Drosophila melanogaster: one gene and its partners. The gene in region 2 interacts genetically with the main gene of each other region. Each region holds a gene or a part of one and is shown on either strand. Other genes may lie near its edges.

Evidence for each region. Genes that interact genetically often act in the same process or in processes that back each other up.
Region 1: of Opa1 (region 2) and gfzf, changing one suppresses a phenotype caused by changing the other (phenotypic suppression), as found in Drosophila melanogaster (one study listed by BioGRID).
Region 3: of Opa1 (region 2) and Adck1, changing one suppresses a phenotype caused by changing the other (phenotypic suppression), as found in Drosophila melanogaster (one study listed by BioGRID).

Annotation. Positions count from the first base shown.
Region 1 is NT_033777.3:7,145,340-7,152,749, reverse strand, and holds gfzf (GST-containing FLYWCH zinc-finger protein), read left to right. Parts: upstream 1-1,781; 5' UTR 1,782-2,119; coding exon 2,120-2,584; intron 2,585-3,117; coding exon 3,118-5,072; intron 5,073-5,371; exon of another isoform or gene 5,372-5,419; intron 5,420-5,657; coding exon 5,658-5,805; intron 5,806-5,866; coding exon 5,867-6,436; 3' UTR 6,437-6,870; downstream 6,871-7,410. Other genes in the region: Sas-4 (spindle assembly abnormal 4), read right to left, coding at 1-1,342; CG2656 (uncharacterized protein), read right to left, coding at 1,552-1,699, 7,169-7,410.
Region 2 is NT_033778.4:14,230,071-14,237,199, reverse strand, and holds Opa1 (optic atrophy 1), read left to right. Parts: upstream 1-1,750; 5' UTR 1,751-1,885; coding exon 1,886-1,914; intron 1,915-2,012; coding exon 2,013-2,310; intron 2,311-2,371; coding exon 2,372-2,507; intron 2,508-2,640; coding exon 2,641-2,757; intron 2,758-2,857; coding exon 2,858-2,932; intron 2,933-2,993; coding exon 2,994-3,583; intron 3,584-3,638; coding exon 3,639-4,012; exon of another isoform or gene 4,013-4,070; coding exon 4,071-4,235; intron 4,236-4,296; coding exon 4,297-4,484; coding exon of another isoform or gene 4,485-4,498; exon of another isoform or gene 4,499-5,235; coding exon 5,236-5,708; intron 5,709-5,773; coding exon 5,774-5,892; intron 5,893-5,955; coding exon 5,956-6,040; intron 6,041-6,100; coding exon 6,101-6,305; intron 6,306-6,361; coding exon 6,362-6,426; 3' UTR 6,427-6,589; downstream 6,590-7,129. Other genes in the region: Snrk (SNF related kinase), read left to right, coding at 1-361, 425-1,120.
Region 3 is NT_033778.4:24,609,928-24,614,446, forward strand, and holds Adck1 (aarF domain containing kinase 1), read left to right. Parts: upstream 1-1,775; 5' UTR 1,776-1,895; exon of another isoform or gene 1,896-1,917; intron 1,918-1,954; exon of another isoform or gene 1,955-2,239; 5' UTR 2,240-2,247; coding exon 2,248-3,360; intron 3,361-3,423; coding exon 3,424-3,519; intron 3,520-3,580; coding exon 3,581-3,928; 3' UTR 3,929-3,979; downstream 3,980-4,519. Other genes in the region: CG42360 (uncharacterized protein), read left to right, coding at 1-28, 89-310, 370-574; CG4741 (uncharacterized protein), read right to left, coding at 1,033-1,355, 3,987-4,044, 4,106-4,348. UniProt on the Drosophila melanogaster protein: Essential for maintaining mitochondrial cristae formation and mitochondrial function by acting via YME1L to regulate the mitochondrial structural proteins Opa1 and Mitofilin. This function is likely to be kinase-independent.

The DNA.
Region 1 (7,410 bases), on a different chromosome or scaffold from region 2:
TCTCCAGCTCTTCGAGGCGAGTGCGAACGAGATTGGCTTTCTCCTGAAGATCTTTGGTTATGGGTTCGTCTGACTCCTTGCTGGGACTTGACTTCTTCTTCTGTTCCAATGCCTGGAAGAGGGCGGACTTGAACTGTTCAAAGAGCTGAATATTGGAGCCGTCGTTGAGGCTGGTGGCATCGGAGTACTCGTGCGTGTCATTGGAGTCGGAGAAACGCACTCGCACTTTAGTATTCCCCACCTGGATGGGTGTCATTGTGAGGGTCTGATCGCTGGACGGTTCGGTGTCCTCCTCGTCCCCCTCCTGCAGTTCCTGCACCAGCATCTGGTCCACCTGTGGCTGCAATCGCATCTGACGCACCTGCTGTGTGACTACAATGTGATCGGAGTCATCAGCTACTCGGCGACGCTGATCTTTGCGCGCCATAAAGGTTCGAATGCAGCTGGAGTTCATATCAATGTTTCCCTCAGTGGCCTTCTGCTCGAGCAGCTCGAATATGCTTACATTGCTGTCATCTTCCACTCGGATTTGAGCAGAGCGTCTTTGGATTTGCGCTGGCTTTATACTCTGTGTGTCCAGCACCTTGGCCCAGCAAACTCCTGTCATGGGACTAGCTTCCGAGGAGGCTTCATCATCGGCATGAGTGGTTTGTCCCGCCCTGCTCTTCTGCTCTACAAAACGAACTCTGGGCGAGGTGCTCGAGGCGGTTGTGGAGGACGCATAGGAAGACTTTAGATCTGGAGTGGAACTGCAGGCGTTCTTGCCGATAAGCATCTGCTGAAAGCGCTGCTCGTTGAGATCGTCGAGCTGTGCTGAGGGTTTGGGAGCTGGTGGAGGCGCAGGATTGGGAGGTGACTTGACTTGCTTCTTGAGAATACCCTTTTTCATTTGAGGCGTGCGGAACTGAGGGTGGGCATTAGCGAACTTGTATCGCGGCAGGTTTTCCAGGCGCAGCTGGTCGGGATTGATCTTGAACCGCTGCTTTAGACCTTCGCCGCGACGCAGAAAAGGGCGTTTAGGCTTGGCCGGCTGGGGATCAGCCATTGAAATCTCTGGCTCGTGCTCGTCCGGATCCGCCGCGAGTCGCGGCATTTGTATAGAGTGCTCCTCGTCCCACTCCTCCAGCACACTGTTTTCATGGCTTTCCGTTTCCTGGTGTAGCAGTCCCAGCATTTTGTACATATTACGTTGCTCCAAGCCGAGCAAAACGCGGTGATTGGACTGCCGCTCCTGCAGCAGCCGCTTCTGCTCGTCCTGCCAACGACTAAGCGCCGCGAGACGCTGTGCGATGGCCTCCTGGCTCAGAGGCATTCCAACAGGACTTTCGCCAGCCTCCTGCATGCTTTTATATTCGTTCTTAGAATCGCAGTTTTGTTTAGACGCCGTACGCGTAGGGGAATTTAAAATTACGGCAGCAGTTGTCCAACACTGTACCAGTGGCAACTCTGCGGTCAGGGATGGTGCTAGACATGCATTTTGATTAGATTTAATTTTTTATTAAAAATAAAATATTGTACATTTTCTTAAGCAATATGAAAAATTGATTTTTTTCAATCCTGATCCCCTTCCTCCGGTTCATCAAAGTCCTTAACGTTCACGTCTGCATCCTCGCCGTACTGCAAGATACTGTCAATTTGTAGCAGAAGATCGCCCACGCTCTCCTCGTCCTGGGAATCCAACGGGAAAAATCTCACCAAACTGTAAGTGAATAATAAACATCAATATTTACAATTTTTGAACGTCACAAAAATAACCGATTTTGATAAGTGGCAACGCCACCGCATAGCTCGCAGCCCTCGTATCCCACACAAAAGCATTTTTCGACGCGTCGCAAAAGAAAATGTGCTTGTGCAATTAAAATCGAGTGATAAAAACCAAATATAAACCCTTTTAGTGCATCAAACTGCAATAAATCAGTGCGTTTGGGTAAATGGCCGGCGTTTGCAAAAAGGCGCGCAAATAGTGAGCTGACGAAATACCACCAAAAATCCCAACCAACAAATCCCAGGCAGCCAGCCACTAAAAAAATCGCCTAATTTACGATACAAAACACTTTTCGAGGGCAAATCGAAAAACGCTGAATTCCGGGCTCGGGCCAAACAGCGCACCAATTCAAAAATGGAGACGCCCGTCGAGGAGCACGGCATGGACCTGACCAAGGTGTCCGTGGTGCGCTCCGCCAAGGGCGTGGATATGCTCTGCGTGGACGACTATCTGTACCACTTCGATCGCATCGGGCGGAATAACACCTACCGATGGCTGTGCAACAGGCGCAAGGACAAGTCCACTCCCTGCAAGTCCCGCATCTGCACCATGCTGCCCGATCCGCTGGACAAGACGCGCCACGTCGTCGTGGACGTCGTTCTGGCCCACATCCACCCGCGCTGCAGCGATCACGAGGTCAACAAGGTGGCCCAGCGCAAGCGGCTCTCCGTAATGATGATGAACGACGCTTACAGCACCACCCAGCCGAAGAGAGCACGCCTGTACGAGCGCGCCAACGCCGGCATGAATCCGCCGGAGTTCATCTACGGAAGCATCGACACCTCCACCGTGGAGGCCTCGTTCCAGTTGGACTTTGAGGTACGGCCCCAGGCCAACTGTACCTGGCTCATGCCCCTGAATACTCAACTCAACCATTTATTTAGAATCTAGCTGGGTCTCTTTTTCAGAAAGAACATTGATATTAATATTGATTCATATTTCGGTAACCACCGCTACTTTGAACATTTGATAATGTAAAAAAAAGGTTAATTTGCTCACCTTAGTAATGAGATGGTTTCCCGCCAATTTGTTTTTTATATTTATTTTCCTATTTGCAAATCCACCGGCTAGGCCGTTAAAAGGACAATAAATACCAAAGCTTAATCATTTATGATTCAAAAAATACTATATATCTCCAAACGAAACTAAATATTAGGGATTTTTGAAAAAAATGGGACCCAATCATTTTATAACATGCACCCTACTGAAGGGAATATCCAAGGGAATGAAATACTTTTGAACTTACACTTAACTTAATTTTACACCTAAATAGATTTCCCATGATGTACCATTTTTAATTCATATACAATTTTACAGCACAAAAATGACTAACACGAACTCTAATTCCGCAGGACAAGGATCGTGTGTACATGCTACGGCGCCGCGACGGCCGCGTGATGGTCTGCATCGACGGGCATCTGTACTACCTGGCCGGGAAATCCTACAAGGGCGACATATTCCGATGGACCTGTGTGCGCAAGCGTGACATTGAGTGCACGGCCAGGATCTGCACGGAGGCGACTTTGGCGGGGGCACATCGCCTGCATGCCGTCGACACGGATGCGCACATTCATCCGCACTACTCGGCCGCCAAGCTGATGCACATGTTTTCGAAGCACCAAATCGTGTTGGTGGAGGACGAAAATACCTCTGATGTGCTGGCAGAGTGCCCCAATCTTGAGTACTTCGATCCGGAAAACACTTTCGACACAGCTCAGCGGGGCGATGACTTGGAATCCATAATAATCGAGGAGTGCGAGGATAACTACGATATATACATGAGAACGGACGGAAGCCAAGGTGGAGGGATTCAAGGCAGCGAAGAGCTCGAGAGCCAGGAAGGGGATGACGAGTCTTCGCTGGTGGACCCGAAAATGCATCACAGCTCCAAGTGGCCAGCGGCATTCGACGTAATTGCCAACTATCTGCCGCCGCCGAGCCACAATCCACTCACGGAAACCGACTTGACCAAGTTCACATTTCTACCATCGGCCAAGGGTCGAAAGGTGCTGTGCTTGAGTCAGCATCTGTTCCACTTCGACTCGCAAAGCAGGTCAAACGGCCACATGTTCTTCACATGCATAAACCGACGCGACAAGGCCAACACTTGTCACGTCCGCATTACCCTAGACCCGGTTGAAAACGGACCAGTAGTGCTTCGAATCAATGGGGAGCACACGCACAATCCGGATATAAAAGAAATTGCTCGCCGGCTAAAGCAGCAGGCCAAGCTGGATCAGGACAATGTGCACAAGCTGCAAAAGATCGAGCACTCTGAAGAGATCAGTTTCGAAAGCGATGAGGGATCGGCCAGCCAGGGAGGCGATACCTTCGAGGCGGAGAACAGCGTCGACGAAAGCTACGGACACATTGACACGCGTAATGTGGTTATGAAGAAGGTGATTAGCATCGATGGCGCCATCAAAATGGAACCAGAATCGAAAGCGAACATGATAGTGCAGTACCTTAAGGACGGAGCGAACAACATAAGCGCCAAGATCGAGATACTGCCCGACGCACTAGATGAGCTCGACCCACATTCACACACTGCTTATTCATCCACACCTTTGCCGAAAGTTCGACAGCCGCAGATCACGAATATTCGTAGGCGACGCGATGTAGCAGAGCCAGCAAAGGGCGCCCAGCCGGACATGGACCTCTCAAAGATTTGTACCCTGAGATCTGCCAAGGGGCACGAACTGCTGTGCGTCGATGGCTATATATACCATGCCAAGAACCGTGGCGTCATCTCGCGCAACTATTGGGTGTGCATCAAAAGCCGCGATCCGGACATCAATTGCAAGAGCCGCATCTCGACGGCCACCCAAAAGGATGGCTCTATTCGTGTGCTCCGTGTTTACAACAGTCATAGCCATCCTTTCAGCGAGGACGACATCAAGCGGAGACTCTACAACGAGATCAACAAGAAGAACAACAAGAACCTAAAGTTTCGGCCGCTGCACTTTATCGGCAAATCGTTGGATCAGATTCAGCAGGAGTATGGTGATTTGGCCATCGAGCGCCTGAATGTGTCTAATATCAGCAGCGACATTGTGGTTCACAAGAAGCCTCGAGTTAGCGGCAGTAATAATAGCAGATCTGCATCATTATCCGTGTCCCACAGAGCGGACTCTCACCATGAGGAAGATGATGTTGTTATCGTGGAGGAAGAGTACCAGGAGCAAGAGGAAGGCGTCGAAATGACCATGGAGGGCGATCAACAATACATGGATGTGGACAACACAGATGGGATCATTGAGGTTGTCGAGGAAGTAGCCGATGAAATGGAAAGCTACGGCTCTATTGTGTATGTATACCATCCCGAAAGAAAGAAAACATAACAATCTTTTTAAAAAACGTACTTGCATGAATAAAAACAAGAACACTAACAATGAGATAGAACTTTTGGCACACTTACAACACCTACCCTTATTCGAAACAAATATTCATAGCCTCGATTCATTATAAAGAATTCGTGACTGTTAAGGGTCGACAAATTAGGCAGAGTATTTGCGAACCTATGTTAGCATAATGCCTTTCAAACGCAAAACAAGTTTGGATTGTCATTGAAATGAACACCTGCAATATCTGGCAAGTTAATTCAGCACATCAGTATGGTTTGAAAGCTGCTCGAACGTACAACATTAATTTTGGGTTTGTTATTATTCAGTATTTAAAAATATTTCTTAAAAAGCCCAGAAATTCTTTGACAGAATTTTTGCGATAGAATACACACTGAATACAGACAGCATCAGCAATAATTAAACCAAATATATATATAGATATATAGAAAATAGACAGTAGAGGCAAATTGCTTTCACTTTTAAGCTACAAGCAAACCGGTCGAACAAGAGACAAATACACAAAACTAACGATCGCTGTGTACCCACAGACCCATCTACACAATGAAACTCTACGCCGTATCCGATGGTCCGCCTTCCCTGGCCGTTCGCATGACCCTGAAGGCCTTGGATATACAATATCAACTCATCAATGTGGACTTTTGCGCCATGGAACATCGCTCTGAGGAGTACTCGAAGGTATGTGCATATGGAGTCATGAATTTGATTTTCAAGTCATTAAAAATTCAAATCATTGCAGATGAATCCGCAAAAGGAGATACCCGTGCTGGACGACGACGGTTTCTATCTATCGGAGAGCATTGCCATTATGCAATACCTCTGCGACAAGTACGCGCCGGATTCAACGCTATATCCGCAGGACGTCAATGTGAGAGCAGTAATCAATCAGCGGCTATGCTTTAACATGGGATTCTACTATGCCCCCATATCCGCCCACAGCATGGCGCCCATTTTCTTCGACTACAAACGTACGCCCATGTCGCTAAAGAAGGTGCAGAACGCACTTGATGTGTTCGAAACCTATTTGCAGCGACTGGGCACTAAGTACGCGGCAGGCGAGAACATAACCATTGCAGACTTCGCTCTCATTTCGGCCACGATCTGCTTGGAGGCAATTAACTTTGACTTGCACCAGTTTACGTTGGTGAACAAGTGGTACGAAACCTTCAAGGTGGAATACCCGCAGCTGTGGGAGATCGCCAACAGCGGCATGCAGGAGATAAGTGCGTTTGAGCAGAACCCACCGGATATGTCACACATGGAACACCCATTCCATCCGACGCGCAAGTCTATGGGCCTGAAGTTGTAGATTGTAGTTTTAGAACTTAAGACCCTGCCAGCAAGGGAAGTGAAAAACGTTCTCCTTTTAATTCTTGTGAAATATTCGATATATATATATATATTGATATAATAATAATAACATAATTATATAATAATATATAATTATAGGTTGTTTTGCCTTCCAAATTGACATGAACAAAGAAGTTCAGAAGTCTAAGAAAAAATAGTATTAAAATGTGCCCACAAAATTTTATGCGATTGAAATTGCAAGTCGAACTGGAGGTCAAGCTTAAATTTTTTCAACAAAATACATATTTCCATTATTTTTGTCTTATTAGAAAATATTATCATTTCTTGCTAACAATTTGAAGTTATTTTATGGCAAGAATCCCTTTAAATCAACCTTGGTTATTATAAGGACTAATCAACCTGTGTTTATCATTTAAAATAAAACATTTCGATAAAACCAAAAATGTGTTTCCTTTGATATGATTGTATTAAAAAATCTTCTGATAAAAAACCTACCGATGTTAATAAAATCATAATGTTGGTGATTAAATCGAACTAACTAAAACGAAAATATTAACAACCATAGTCGACTTTTTCGTGTATTTTCTGCGGCTAATCGCTTACAATAGTCTCTCTTCAAATGTAATTAACTTTTGGATTTTTTGGACTGTAATTTTTGTAAAATGCTCAGTAAAACTCCACTCCGCTACCACCGATTTAAGTATCAATTAATTATAATTGATTAGCTCACCTGAAATCCTCAATTAGCGCGCCAATAGCCTGCGTAAGCTTTGCGTATTTCTCGCCAAAACCAGTCCCGATGGTCAGCTCGCCCATCAGACTGTGGGCATCCGGTTCCAGGTACATCTCCAGCTGTTTCCGCGCATCGCTGCTCAGCAGATCCACTTTGGTCAGCACATTGATGTGCGGCTGCTCCATGTTGGCCATCACACTGAGCGCGGCCATGGTGCCGGAAATGAACTTGGCCCCGTC
Region 2 (7,129 bases):
GGACACGCTGAGTGGTCTGAAGGAGCTGGAGATCGGCAAGCTCAAGCCGCTTCCTAGCAGCAGCAAGAATCCGGTGCTTACCCACCGTCGCACAAAGCTGAACAAGATTCGGACGCCTTCATGCAGCAGCTCGGAGGCCTCAGACGACGACACCAAGACACGCAACAAGAAAAAGATTAACAAATTTGTCGGTGACACGCCAGTGCGGTTTCGCATGCATCGTCGCGACTCGCATGACGACTCCAGCGACTCGCAAGATCAGCTATATCCGCCGCCCGGCTCGGCCAGCAATGCGGGTAATTTTATCTCCAAAAGCGGCTCAGTAAGCGGCAAAAAAGAGGGACAATCGCAGTATAAAGAGGTACGATTATTATTGTATAATTATCAGTGAGACAGCTACTAAACTTATATTCTTTGCTTACAGCCAAATAACAAATCCGATGAAAATCGCAAATCTCACAGCCAAAAAAATCGGAAACAGCACAACAAGGATCATGTTGATAAGCATTCCCACGCTGAGAGGCAGCTGGCGGATAGCAGCACAGCTACAACAGGAAATTCCACGAATAGAAGGCGGCGCATTCGCGAGAGCCAGTCGCTGGACCGCATCACAGAGGCTCAGGAATACGAGATGCGGCATCGATGCTACGCGGAGAGCGAGGCAGCATCCTCGTCGTCCTCGTCCACCCAACATATCGATCAGAGATATTCTTTACTCAGCCTAAACACTAGCACATTCTCCGTTGCCGAAACCAAGGAGGAGTACGACGAGGAGGCAGACGCCACAAATGCCACGGACCAAATCATGAATACTTTGAATGCAGCCAAAGCAACGCTTCAACAAGAGCAATATTTTAATAACAATACCAATCTTAGTAGGAACTTCAATCACAATCACAACCAGAGCATCATCCACATCAGTAGCCAGAAAGCCAACGGCAAGAAGTCCAACGAAACACCAAAAGATATTTATAATCTGAACTCAATCGAGCATATCGACTTGATTTTGGAGGATAAAAGCCTTACCAAAGCAATACACGTTACCGGCTCTAAATGCTTTGTCACCATGAAGAAAATCCGACGGCTGGGAAAATATTTTCCCGTGATGAACTTCTCTTAATAGACACAGTTACTTCTTTGCAAAGTGCATTCTAAATATTAAAAAGAAACTCGGTTAAGCGAACTACATAGAAAATATGCATGTATTAATTAAAACGTATAAACGTCAACGTTATCCCCCGTATATAGGAAAGAGCGCGAGAATATTTAAATTTAGTGGTAGCGTAATTGTTTTGTCTGTCGTCGTCATTACGCTTAAATTATTCTAAATATATTAATTTATGTTAATTATAAGTCTAATCACTCAATGCAATATTTAGTGAAAATACATTAATGCCCATATGACAATTGACTAAAAAGGTTATTTGTTTTCTTTTTAACAAATTGTGACGAATTAAAATGGAATGAAACTCGCAACTCGCACAATCTAAAATTGGCAATTCAAATGTTTGCGCCCAACTACAGTGTGTACACACCACAAATGTTGTAGAGTAGGTAAAGGAAATAAAGCAATAAACATTTAACTACTTAAAGCTCTTAAGATGTAGTTAAGCAATGATGGATGTCACCAAGCAATTTTTTTTTATTGTAAGAAAAATATACAATATACAAAAATATATTCTTTTATTTTACAAAATGATGCGTGTAAAATACATTGTACCTAATGCAGGTACCCCAAACGAGTACAAGCCACCCTTTTCAACTCTGGTCACACAGAGCACATCCCGTAAAGTTTTTCAGAGATGAGTTTGCGGCAGGAAAATTGAATTATTCACGGAAATAAACAAAGTAAACTAAGTGGAAACTGTAATCCTGACCAGCAATTATGTTGCGCATCTATCAAAATACTTACCGGTGAGAGACCACGCCCGAAACGCGAAAGCCTTACGTGCAGATTTTCTGCACGATTTCGTCATCGGCGAATCTCATCATTCAATGTGTTTTGCCCACAGGCGCACCGCGAGAAAAGCTGTTGTCTACTCCACCAAGGTCGCCTGCTGCAATCATTCCACGCTCTGTGGCATCACCAGCCATCCACGTCGGGCGCAGGATAGCGGGAGCTCCAGTTCGAATGGCAGGCACCGTGGCCACGAGGAGTTCCTACTTGCCGGCAATCCGGCGCGGGGCTGGCAAATGCCTCCGCCGTCGCGTGGTTACGGAATGCTGGTGGTGCGCATACTGCGGGGAGCCCTCAAGCTGCGATACATCGTCCTGGGCGGCGCCATCGGCGGGGGCGTGTCGCTGAGCAAAGTGAGTTTCGCAAGTTATATAACTTGTATAGAACTTAGGAGACATGATTTGTTTTCCGCAGAAATACGAGGAATGGAAGGATGGACTGCCGAATTTTAAGTGGCTGGAGGATGCCATGCCGCAGGGCGAACGGTGGAGCCAGTTCTCGCGGAATCTCATTGAGGTGGGCTCGCTGGTGAAGAACGCCATCGAAGTTGGTGAGTGTCCATGTAGACCTACCATCGCCCTTTCAATCTCTCACTTTAAATGGTCATATACCTTGGTCAGATTCGCATTGAACTCTTCGTTTTGATTGATTGATACTGATGTTATTGGGGCGTTTGCTTGTAGATCCAAAGCTCAAGCAGCTGGGCGAGGATAAGTTGTCGGAATGGCGCAACTGGTTTGACAGTCGTCTGGACGATGCCATCGAGGCGGCCGATTATCAAGGAGTTCAGATTGTCGAAAGTAGGTTACACAAATTACACAGACTCCCAACGTTGGGACCATTTAAAGTGAGAGATCCCTATCTACCGCATTCGAGACTTATTCCTAACATCTGTTGCAGCCAAAGATGACTTAAAGGCCAAAACAACGGTGGCCGCTTTAGGCATAACATCCGATGAGAGTCGTAAGAAGTATGGTAGGTTTTTTGCACACCTGCCGAAAGATATACTATATCTAATCCTTCTGTGATTCCGCAGAGAAACTCCAGAGCCAGGTGGAGACGCTGCAGACGGAGATCATGAACGTCCAGATTAAGTACCAAAAGGAGCTGGAGAAGATGGAGAAGGAGAACCGTGAACTACGCCAGCAATACCTCATCCTGAAAACAAACAAAAAGACCACGGCAAAAAAAATCAAAAAATCCCTGATCGACATGTACTCTGAGGTCCTTGATGAGCTATCCGGCTACGATACGGGCTACACCATGGCCGATCACCTACCCCGTGTTGTGGTAGTGGGAGATCAGAGCAGCGGCAAGACCTCTGTCCTGGAATCCATTGCTAAGGCTCGCATCTTTCCCCGTGGCAGTGGAGAGATGATGACGCGAGCCCCAGTCAAAGTTACTCTGGCTGAAGGACCATACCATGTGGCTCAGTTCCGTGACTCTGACCGGGAATACGATCTCACCAAGGAGTCTGATCTGCAGGACCTCCGTCGGGATGTGGAGTTCCGAATGAAGGCGTCGGTGAGAGGTGGTAAAACCGTCAGCAATGAAGTCATTGCCATGACGGTCAAGGGTCCCGGTCTGCAACGCATGGTTCTAGTCGATTTGCCAGGAATAATTTCGGTGAGCAAGTCAATACAAGTAAAACTGCGCACATCTAATGCTAATATCATTTTAGACCATGACTGTCGACATGGCCTCAGACACAAAAGATTCCATTCACCAGATGACCAAGCATTATATGAGCAATCCGAACGCCATCATTCTCTGCATTCAGGATGGATCTGTGGACGCTGAGCGCAGTAATGTGACAGACTTGGTCATGCAGTGCGATCCCTTGGGTCGACGCACTATTTTTGTGCTCACAAAGGTGGATCTGGCCGAGGAGCTCGCCGATCCTGATAGAATAAGGAAAATCCTTTCGGGCAAACTCTTCCCCATGAAGGCTTTGGGCTACTATGCCGTCGTTACCGGTCGTGGACGAAAGGATGACAGCATAGATGCTATTCGGCAGTATGAGGAAGACTTCTTTAAGAACTCCAAGCTTTTCCAGTAAGTATAGAGAGGATGTGATTGGTAAATTCCAAAGTTCACCTCTCTCCATACTTAGTCGTCGAGGGGTTATCATGCCCCATCAGGTGACCAGCCGCAATCTGAGCTTGGCGGTGTCAGATCGTTTCTGGAAGATGGTGAGGGAAACCATTGAGCAGCAGGCGGATGCATTTAAGGCGACTAGATTTAATCTGGAAACCGAATGGAAAAATAACTTCCCCAGGTTTGTAAAAATGTTTTAAAAAATATAAGAGATCTATAACATTTGAGGTATACTCTTTTAGATTGCGCGAGTCTGGTCGAGATGAGCTGTTCGACAAGGCAAAGGGCGAGATACTGGACGAGGTGGTAACGCTCTCGCAAATCTCCGCTAAAAAGTGGGACGACGCTCTGAGCACCAAGCTATGGGAAAAGCTCTCCAATTATGTGTTTGAAAGCATCTATCTGCCCGCTGCACAGTCAGGTTCTCAAAGTAATATTTTGTAGTACTAAGTGTAGGTTGTAAGCAGATTTCGCCGACGTCATCGATGGGGGCACGTCCATCCAATCGCCCGCCTTGTGTGCTCCGTCATTGTGTGTGTTTCTTGCAAGAAGATATGGCTTGGCCTCGAACCTCACGTGTCTCTGCAAAACGTTGTGTCGTTTAAATGTTTTGTTTAATTTTGTATTTATCATGGCCCGCATTCAGCGTCGAATTCCCGTGCAAGGGAATCACATGCGTTAAATAATTTCAAACCGGTTTGACTGATATTCCTGCAACATTTCTTGAATCACAAGTGTAAATTTAATGTGTACTCCCCGGCGGACGATTTCGAATCCCATTAACACCGTTTGCCTTTGCCCCAAAATAGTGACCCGGGATTGTCACAGGTTCTGCGTTGCGATCATGTGCCGGAAAGTCGCTTATAACGAAGATTTACGAGCACCTGTACCGAAACCAGATTTTGGTTTATGTTCACATTATAAAAACGTATGCGATATTAGCGATTTATGACCGAAAAACCCGTTTAAGCCATCGCTCAGCTTGTGTTTATTTAGCATTTTATGACAGACCTGTTAATTTGCTCAATGAATTCATCCAAATCAATGTCTAATTGAATTAAATTGCAGTTATCGAGTTAGGAATCTGAATGTTTCGTCGCTTTGTTTATCATTCCCCCCGTAGTTGTGTGTCTAGTTAATTTGGCTCAACTAATTTCATACGATTACTATGCTCTTTATAGATTCCTTCAACACGATGGTAGACATCAAGTTGCGCCAGTGGGCCGAGCAGGCACTGCCCGCTAAGTCGGTGGAAGCTGGCTGGGAAGCGTTGCAGCAGGAATTCATATCGCTGATGGAGCGTTCGAAGAAGGCGCAGGATCACGACGGCATCTTCGATCAGTTGAAGTCTGCGGTGGTGGATGAGGCTATACGTCGGCACAGCTGGGAGGACAAGGCCATCGACATGCTTCGCGTTATCCAGCTGAATACGCTGGAGGATCGGTTCGTGCACGACAAGCAGGAGTGGGATTCGGCGGTTAAGTTCCTGGAGAGTTCGGTGAATGCCAAGCTCGTGCAGACGGAGGAGACTTTAGCACAAATGTTTGGTCCCGGCCAAATGCGACGAATTACCCACTGGCAGTACCTGACGCAGGATCAGCAGAAGAGGCGAAGCGTTAAGAACGAACTCGACAAAATACTCAAAAACGATACGGTATGGGTAGTATACATTATATAGTTAGTTATTCCTCATTTACACGCATTACATTATGTTGGTAGAAACATTTGCCCACCCTGACCCATGATGAACTGACTACGGTTCGCAAGAACCTTCAGCGTGATAACGTGGATGTGGACACGGACTACATAAGGCAAACGTGGTTCCCGGTCTACAGAAAGTAAGTTGTAATGCTAAACCATTTAGACTGCTTATCAGTTAGCACATATGTCTCTTTTTTCAGACACTTTCTGCAGCAGGCGTTACAGAGGGCAAAGGATTGCCGCAAAGCATATTACCTCTACACGCAGCAGGGAGCCGAGTGTGAGGTAAGTGTTAAGGTTTTCCCTCTTATCTGAACCAATTTACTTAACTTATTGCTTTCTCAGATATCCTGCAGCGACGTCGTGCTCTTCTGGCGCATCCAGCAGGTGATCAAGATAACAGGCAACGCACTGAGACAGCAAGTAATCAATCGGGAGGCGCGGCGGCTGGACAAGGAGATCAAAGCGGTGCTGGACGAGTTCAGCGATGACGAGGAGAAGAAGGGTTACCTGCTCACCGGCAAGCGCGTGCTACTAGCCGAGGAGCTAAGTGAGTGCTTTGCTTAATTGAATTTGGCGCCAATTTAATTGCTTTCAATTCAACAGTCAAAGTGCGGCAGATCCAAGAGAAGCTGGAGGAGTTCATCAATTCACTTAATCAGGAAAAGTAGTGTGCCATGACCAAAGACACAACACCCGAGGCGTTACTTATTTAACTTGATAGTTTAAGACCACATTTGAAATGTTTGTTCATAGTCACGCTTGAGCCCCTTAGTTAAGCATACTTTGTGCTCCGAAAGTAATAAACAAATAGATCGTTAGTTCGTATTATTGAAATCGTCTTTATTGTTTATGAAGTGTAACCTTATGTCGCATGCAATGCAATGTAAACTCATTAATTTAAATGTAATATAAATCATTCATTCTGTTTTAATGTAATTGTAGTTGATAAACGTTAACGCGAAACGCACTCATCGTGCTGAGTATGTAGCGGTCCGTGTGTGTTTCTGAATCTGTATCGTGTAATATATATATATACATATATATTTAAATCGGTTTGCATAAGAGCACAGCACTTTTACCAGATGCCTCATCGTGCGGTTGATTGTTTGTTTCGTTTTGTCCACGATCGGCTAATCCCGCGATGCGCCGGCATCTGTATCGGTATCGAGATCGGTGGTGGGTGCATTAACCCCGACCGATCGTCTGGCCGCGTCTCTAATTGATTGATTGTTTGATTGATAAACGTATATCTAGCTAACTATGTATGTAGCTAGCTATGTAACATAACAAGTCCGTGATTGCGGTGCAGTACCATATCTCTTACAAGGTAAACAAATGCTCGTTCCCTATCATGTTAAATAACTCAACAAA
Region 3 (4,519 bases), about 10 Mb from region 2:
TCATCGATGGTAGCAATGTCGCCTTTGCGTAAGTTCTCTGCTTAAAGCTAACTCTAGACGGACTATTTATTTCATTTTCATTTGACAGTCATGGCAACTCAAACGTGTTTTCATCAGAGGGAATAAAGTATTGCTTGCAGTATTTTGAGAAAATGGGTCACGAAGTTAAGGCTGTGGTTCCAATGTTCCGGAAAAACAACTTCAAGTCTTCGAATCCCGAGCTTCTCGATAAGCTGCACAAGGAAGGGAAGATTGTGTTTACGCCGTGCAAAAACATTCCCGGTCAAATTACGTCTAGCTACGATGATCGGTGAGCTCCTTAGAAAAAACTTCTATTTAGAAATGGAAATGCATAATTTTTTTTTTCAGTTTCATTTTGCAGCTGGCATACGAAAAGAATGCCGCCGTGGTTTCCAACGACAACTACAGAGACCTGATTAATGAAAATCCTGCATTTAAATTGATCGTTGAGAATCGAGTTCTTGGTTACTCCTGGTGCGACAACATATTCATTTTACCCAAGGATCCTTACGGCCGCTGGGGACCTACCCTCGACGAAATTTTGAGGTGCTAATGCACCTAGCCATATATTTGTTTTCAAATTATTCTTTAGTTTCGTGTTATATCTTAAGTTAGTAGTTTTCATTTAGTTTGGTTGCGAATTATTCAACTTTCTTTTCCTTTACAATTAGCGTTAAGTTGGTCAATACTGAAGAGTTAATACGCAGCGTTTACTCATTTTATTAGCATATAGCATATAGTTTTCGACCAGAAGGGTTTTCATATGCCTACTATTTTAAAAATCTTGCAAAATTACGAAGTTCATTATTTACATATAATTTTCGACCAGAAAAATTTTTTAATATGCACTATACGTTTATTTATTTATTTACTCCAATGGGGTTTATAAGTTATGCAAAATTAAAGAGTTGCCGAGGAGCAAGATTTATTTACAAAGGCAAAGCTGTACAGTGTCTTGTTTAGTGTATAAATAATAATAGATTTACTATTTCTCAGAAGTCCAATGCTTTGTTACACCACTGGTGGTTGGCCGTTGACCAAAAATACGGTGGTGGTGGTGGAAGTGGTGGTTGTGGCCACGTTCGCCTCGTAAACCGGCGGTGGTTCGTTAATTCCAACCGCCAAATTGGGATTGCTCGCTTCCAAGCTGGTGGCTATGGTCAGTGTGCTGTCCTGCTTTCGCTCGCTAAAAGCGGCCTCGTCGTAGCTGGGCGGCAAATCCAAGGTCTTGGGCAGGACACTAACTTCGTTCTGGCTGTTTGAGCACACGTTTCCGACTCCTCCGGAGCCGCCGTTGCAATTGTTCGTCACATTGATCTCCATTTGGCGACGGGCTGCGAAAAAAGAGATTTAAATCGTAGTGGACAAGGAAACCTCAGAGAATCTCTTTAAAAACGGAAGTTAGCAACTATATCTTTTAAATATACGTCTAAATCGCTGCGTTCTGTTAACCGATACCTGCTAATATTGGTATTCCTTTATATATAGCGTAACATGTTCTGTTAACCGTTAAATGTTACCCGCTTTTAAAGCAGAAAAAGCAACCAGCCTTCCACAGGGGGGTCGGGTCTCACTAATGACTTTCAACATACTGTTCGAGTCGTTCTTTATTTTAAACGACATTTATAATAACGTTTTTCATGCTGATTAAAAAGCCGTTATATTATGGTAAGAGCACTCAACCCCCTTATGCCAAAACAACTACGCCCTTGAGCTCTGCTATTGGGTCAGCTGCTCTGACGCCAGGCCAACAGCTGATTGCGCCAACTAAGGCCACCACAGAAGTGGAAGCGCATCAATTTAATCACAGACTTTGGAATTTCAACACCTACGCGCCGTTGAACTCCGGCGCTATCTGTAGTGCACCATATCGAGTAAGTGAAACTATTGGCAGTCATTCCGAGCGAGCCGCGACTCACCTTCAGTCAGTTGTGTTTACATAATGGCGCAGACGAAATTACTGAGGTGAAAGTTTAGCTACATGTGAGCGCTGGAAAATGTAAATGGGAAAAATGTAAATGAAAATGCTGGCGGAGATGCAACAGGTTAAGTGGGCTGTATTCGCCAAAAATCAGTTAGCGGAGGGCAAAGTTCAAAGTGCCTCAGTGCCTTGGTTCCGCGTAAAACTACGCGCTTAATTTAGGTGAAAGCCCAAAGGTTAATCGGCATTGACACCTGTTGTTTTTGCACACCGGACTAAACGCTCTTCATTTTGCAGCCGGAGGAATGCTGTTGCGTCGCGTTCTGGGCTACGGAGTAGTCGGCGCCGGACTGGCCTCCGCCGGCTGGAGCCTGCACACCAACGACTACGATCCCAACTCACTCGGAATCGTCCGGCTGTCGCGATCCGCCGCCGCCGTCGTGGACGTGGCACTCACCTACAAGCGGGAACTTTACTACAAGGAATGGGATAAGGAGACGCCCGAGTACAAGGCGGAAAAGAGCCGGGTCCACAAGATAGCCGCCGAGAAGCTACTTCAGCTGATCTGCATAAACAAGGGTGTCTACATCAAGGTGGGCCAGCACATAGGGGCCTTGGAGTACCTGCTACCCAAGGAGTTTGTGCAGACCATGAAGGTACTTCACTCCGATGCGCCGCAAAACCCCATTGAGGACCTGTATAAGGTAATCCGACAGGATCTGCACTGCAATCCGGAAGAAATCTTCGACAGCTTCGAGAGGGAGCCGCTGGGAACTGCTTCCCTTGCCCAGGTACATAAGGCGCGCCTCAAGACCGGCGAGCTGGTGGCCGTGAAGGTGCAACATCCCTACGTTAAGGGTAACTCCCGCGTTGACATGAAGACCATGGAACTGGCCGTTAATGTGCTGGCTCGGATATTTCCCGACTTCAAGATCCACTGGCTGGTTGAGGAGTCTAAAAAGAACTTGCCAATCGAACTCGATTTCCTAAACGAGGGACGTAACGCCGAGAAAGTAGCCAAGCAGTTCAAGAAGTACTCGTGGCTTCGGGTGCCCAAGATATACTGGAAATATAGCTCTTCTCGAGTCCTAGTCATGGAGTACCTGGAGGGTGGGCATGTCACGGACTTGGACTACATACGGCGAAACAAAATTGACTCATTTGCGGTGGCCAATCGCATTGGGCAGCTCTACTCCGAGATGATCTTCCGCACCGGTTTCGTGCACAGCGATCCGCATCCAGGAAACATCTTGGTAAGACGCACGCCGGAAAACAGTCTGGAGATAGTTCTGCTGGATCACGGGCTGTATGCAAATCTGACGGACAAGTTTCGGTACGATTATTCCAATCTCTGGCTGAGTATCCTTAAGGTGGACCGCAAAGCGATGCGACAACACAGTGAGCAGCTGGGAATTAAGGTATTTTCGCTTGGGAGGTGGATTTGAACCTAAACCTTCTAACCTTCTAAACCTTCAATCCAGGGCGATCTGTACGGTCTTTTCGCATGCATGGTGACGGGACGACCTTGGGAGACGGTGATGCAGGGCCTGACCAAAGTCAAATATTCCAAAGAAGAGGTAAGTTCGTGCCGGAAATTCTTCTCTTCAATTACTCGTAGTATATGCTTTGATTCTGCAGAAGAACACGCTGCAAAACAACACGTCCCTGGTGCTGCCGCACATTTCCGACGTATTGGAGCAGGTGGACCGTCAGATGCTGCTCATTCTGAAGACAAATGACTTGATCCGCGGAATTGAGTCCACGCTGCGCACGCAGAACCGGATGACCGCCTTCTGGGTTATGTCCAAGTGCTGTGTTCAATCTTCGTACGCTGAACAGCGAGCCAAGCAGTCTGATTCCGGATCCTCGCGAATCCTGTGGCTGCGGGTGCGCGAGCGATGGGAGCTTTTCAAGCTCAACTGCTACTACCTCTACCTGGGACTGATTAATTTTGGTTTCCTTGAAGCTCTCAAGCAGGTTATTTAGACTAAACGGTGTCCCCCAATTAAAAGTACAAAACTCTTCACGAGGAAAGGGAAATTACCTCGTTGTCTCTGCTGGGCCAGATTCCGCACATTGGTCTCTCGCTTGCGTTTGGCGCTCTTCGGGGAGAGAGTGAATCATTAGCAGGAGCAGGTAGTGTCCCATTCCGAATGGGCTTACCATAATCATGGCCAGAGGAAAGGCGATGACGAAGAGGAAGACCAGCACAATGTAAATGACATAGCTGGGATAAAATAACATGTATGGACCATCGTAGCCGCCACCGTTGATCCAAATTGTGACGGAAGTGGTGTTAACGTATTCCCAATCCGATGTCGTACTTTCAGTGGTGTTAAGTGTTCCGTTGGCCACCGTGGTGGAGTCAAAAGGGGTGCTGACCGTCGCGTTTATGGCAGGGGCCATGTTGAACTCGGGTGTTAATTCCTGATTGGAACTGAAAAATGTCTCGAAGACAGCAGTTCTCTGACGAACAGACAGAGCCGACTAACCTGAACTACTGGCCACCGAATTGATAGGACATCCGGGCATGGGTCAGACTCGGGGCTGACAGCGAAGAACGCACATATTTGCTTT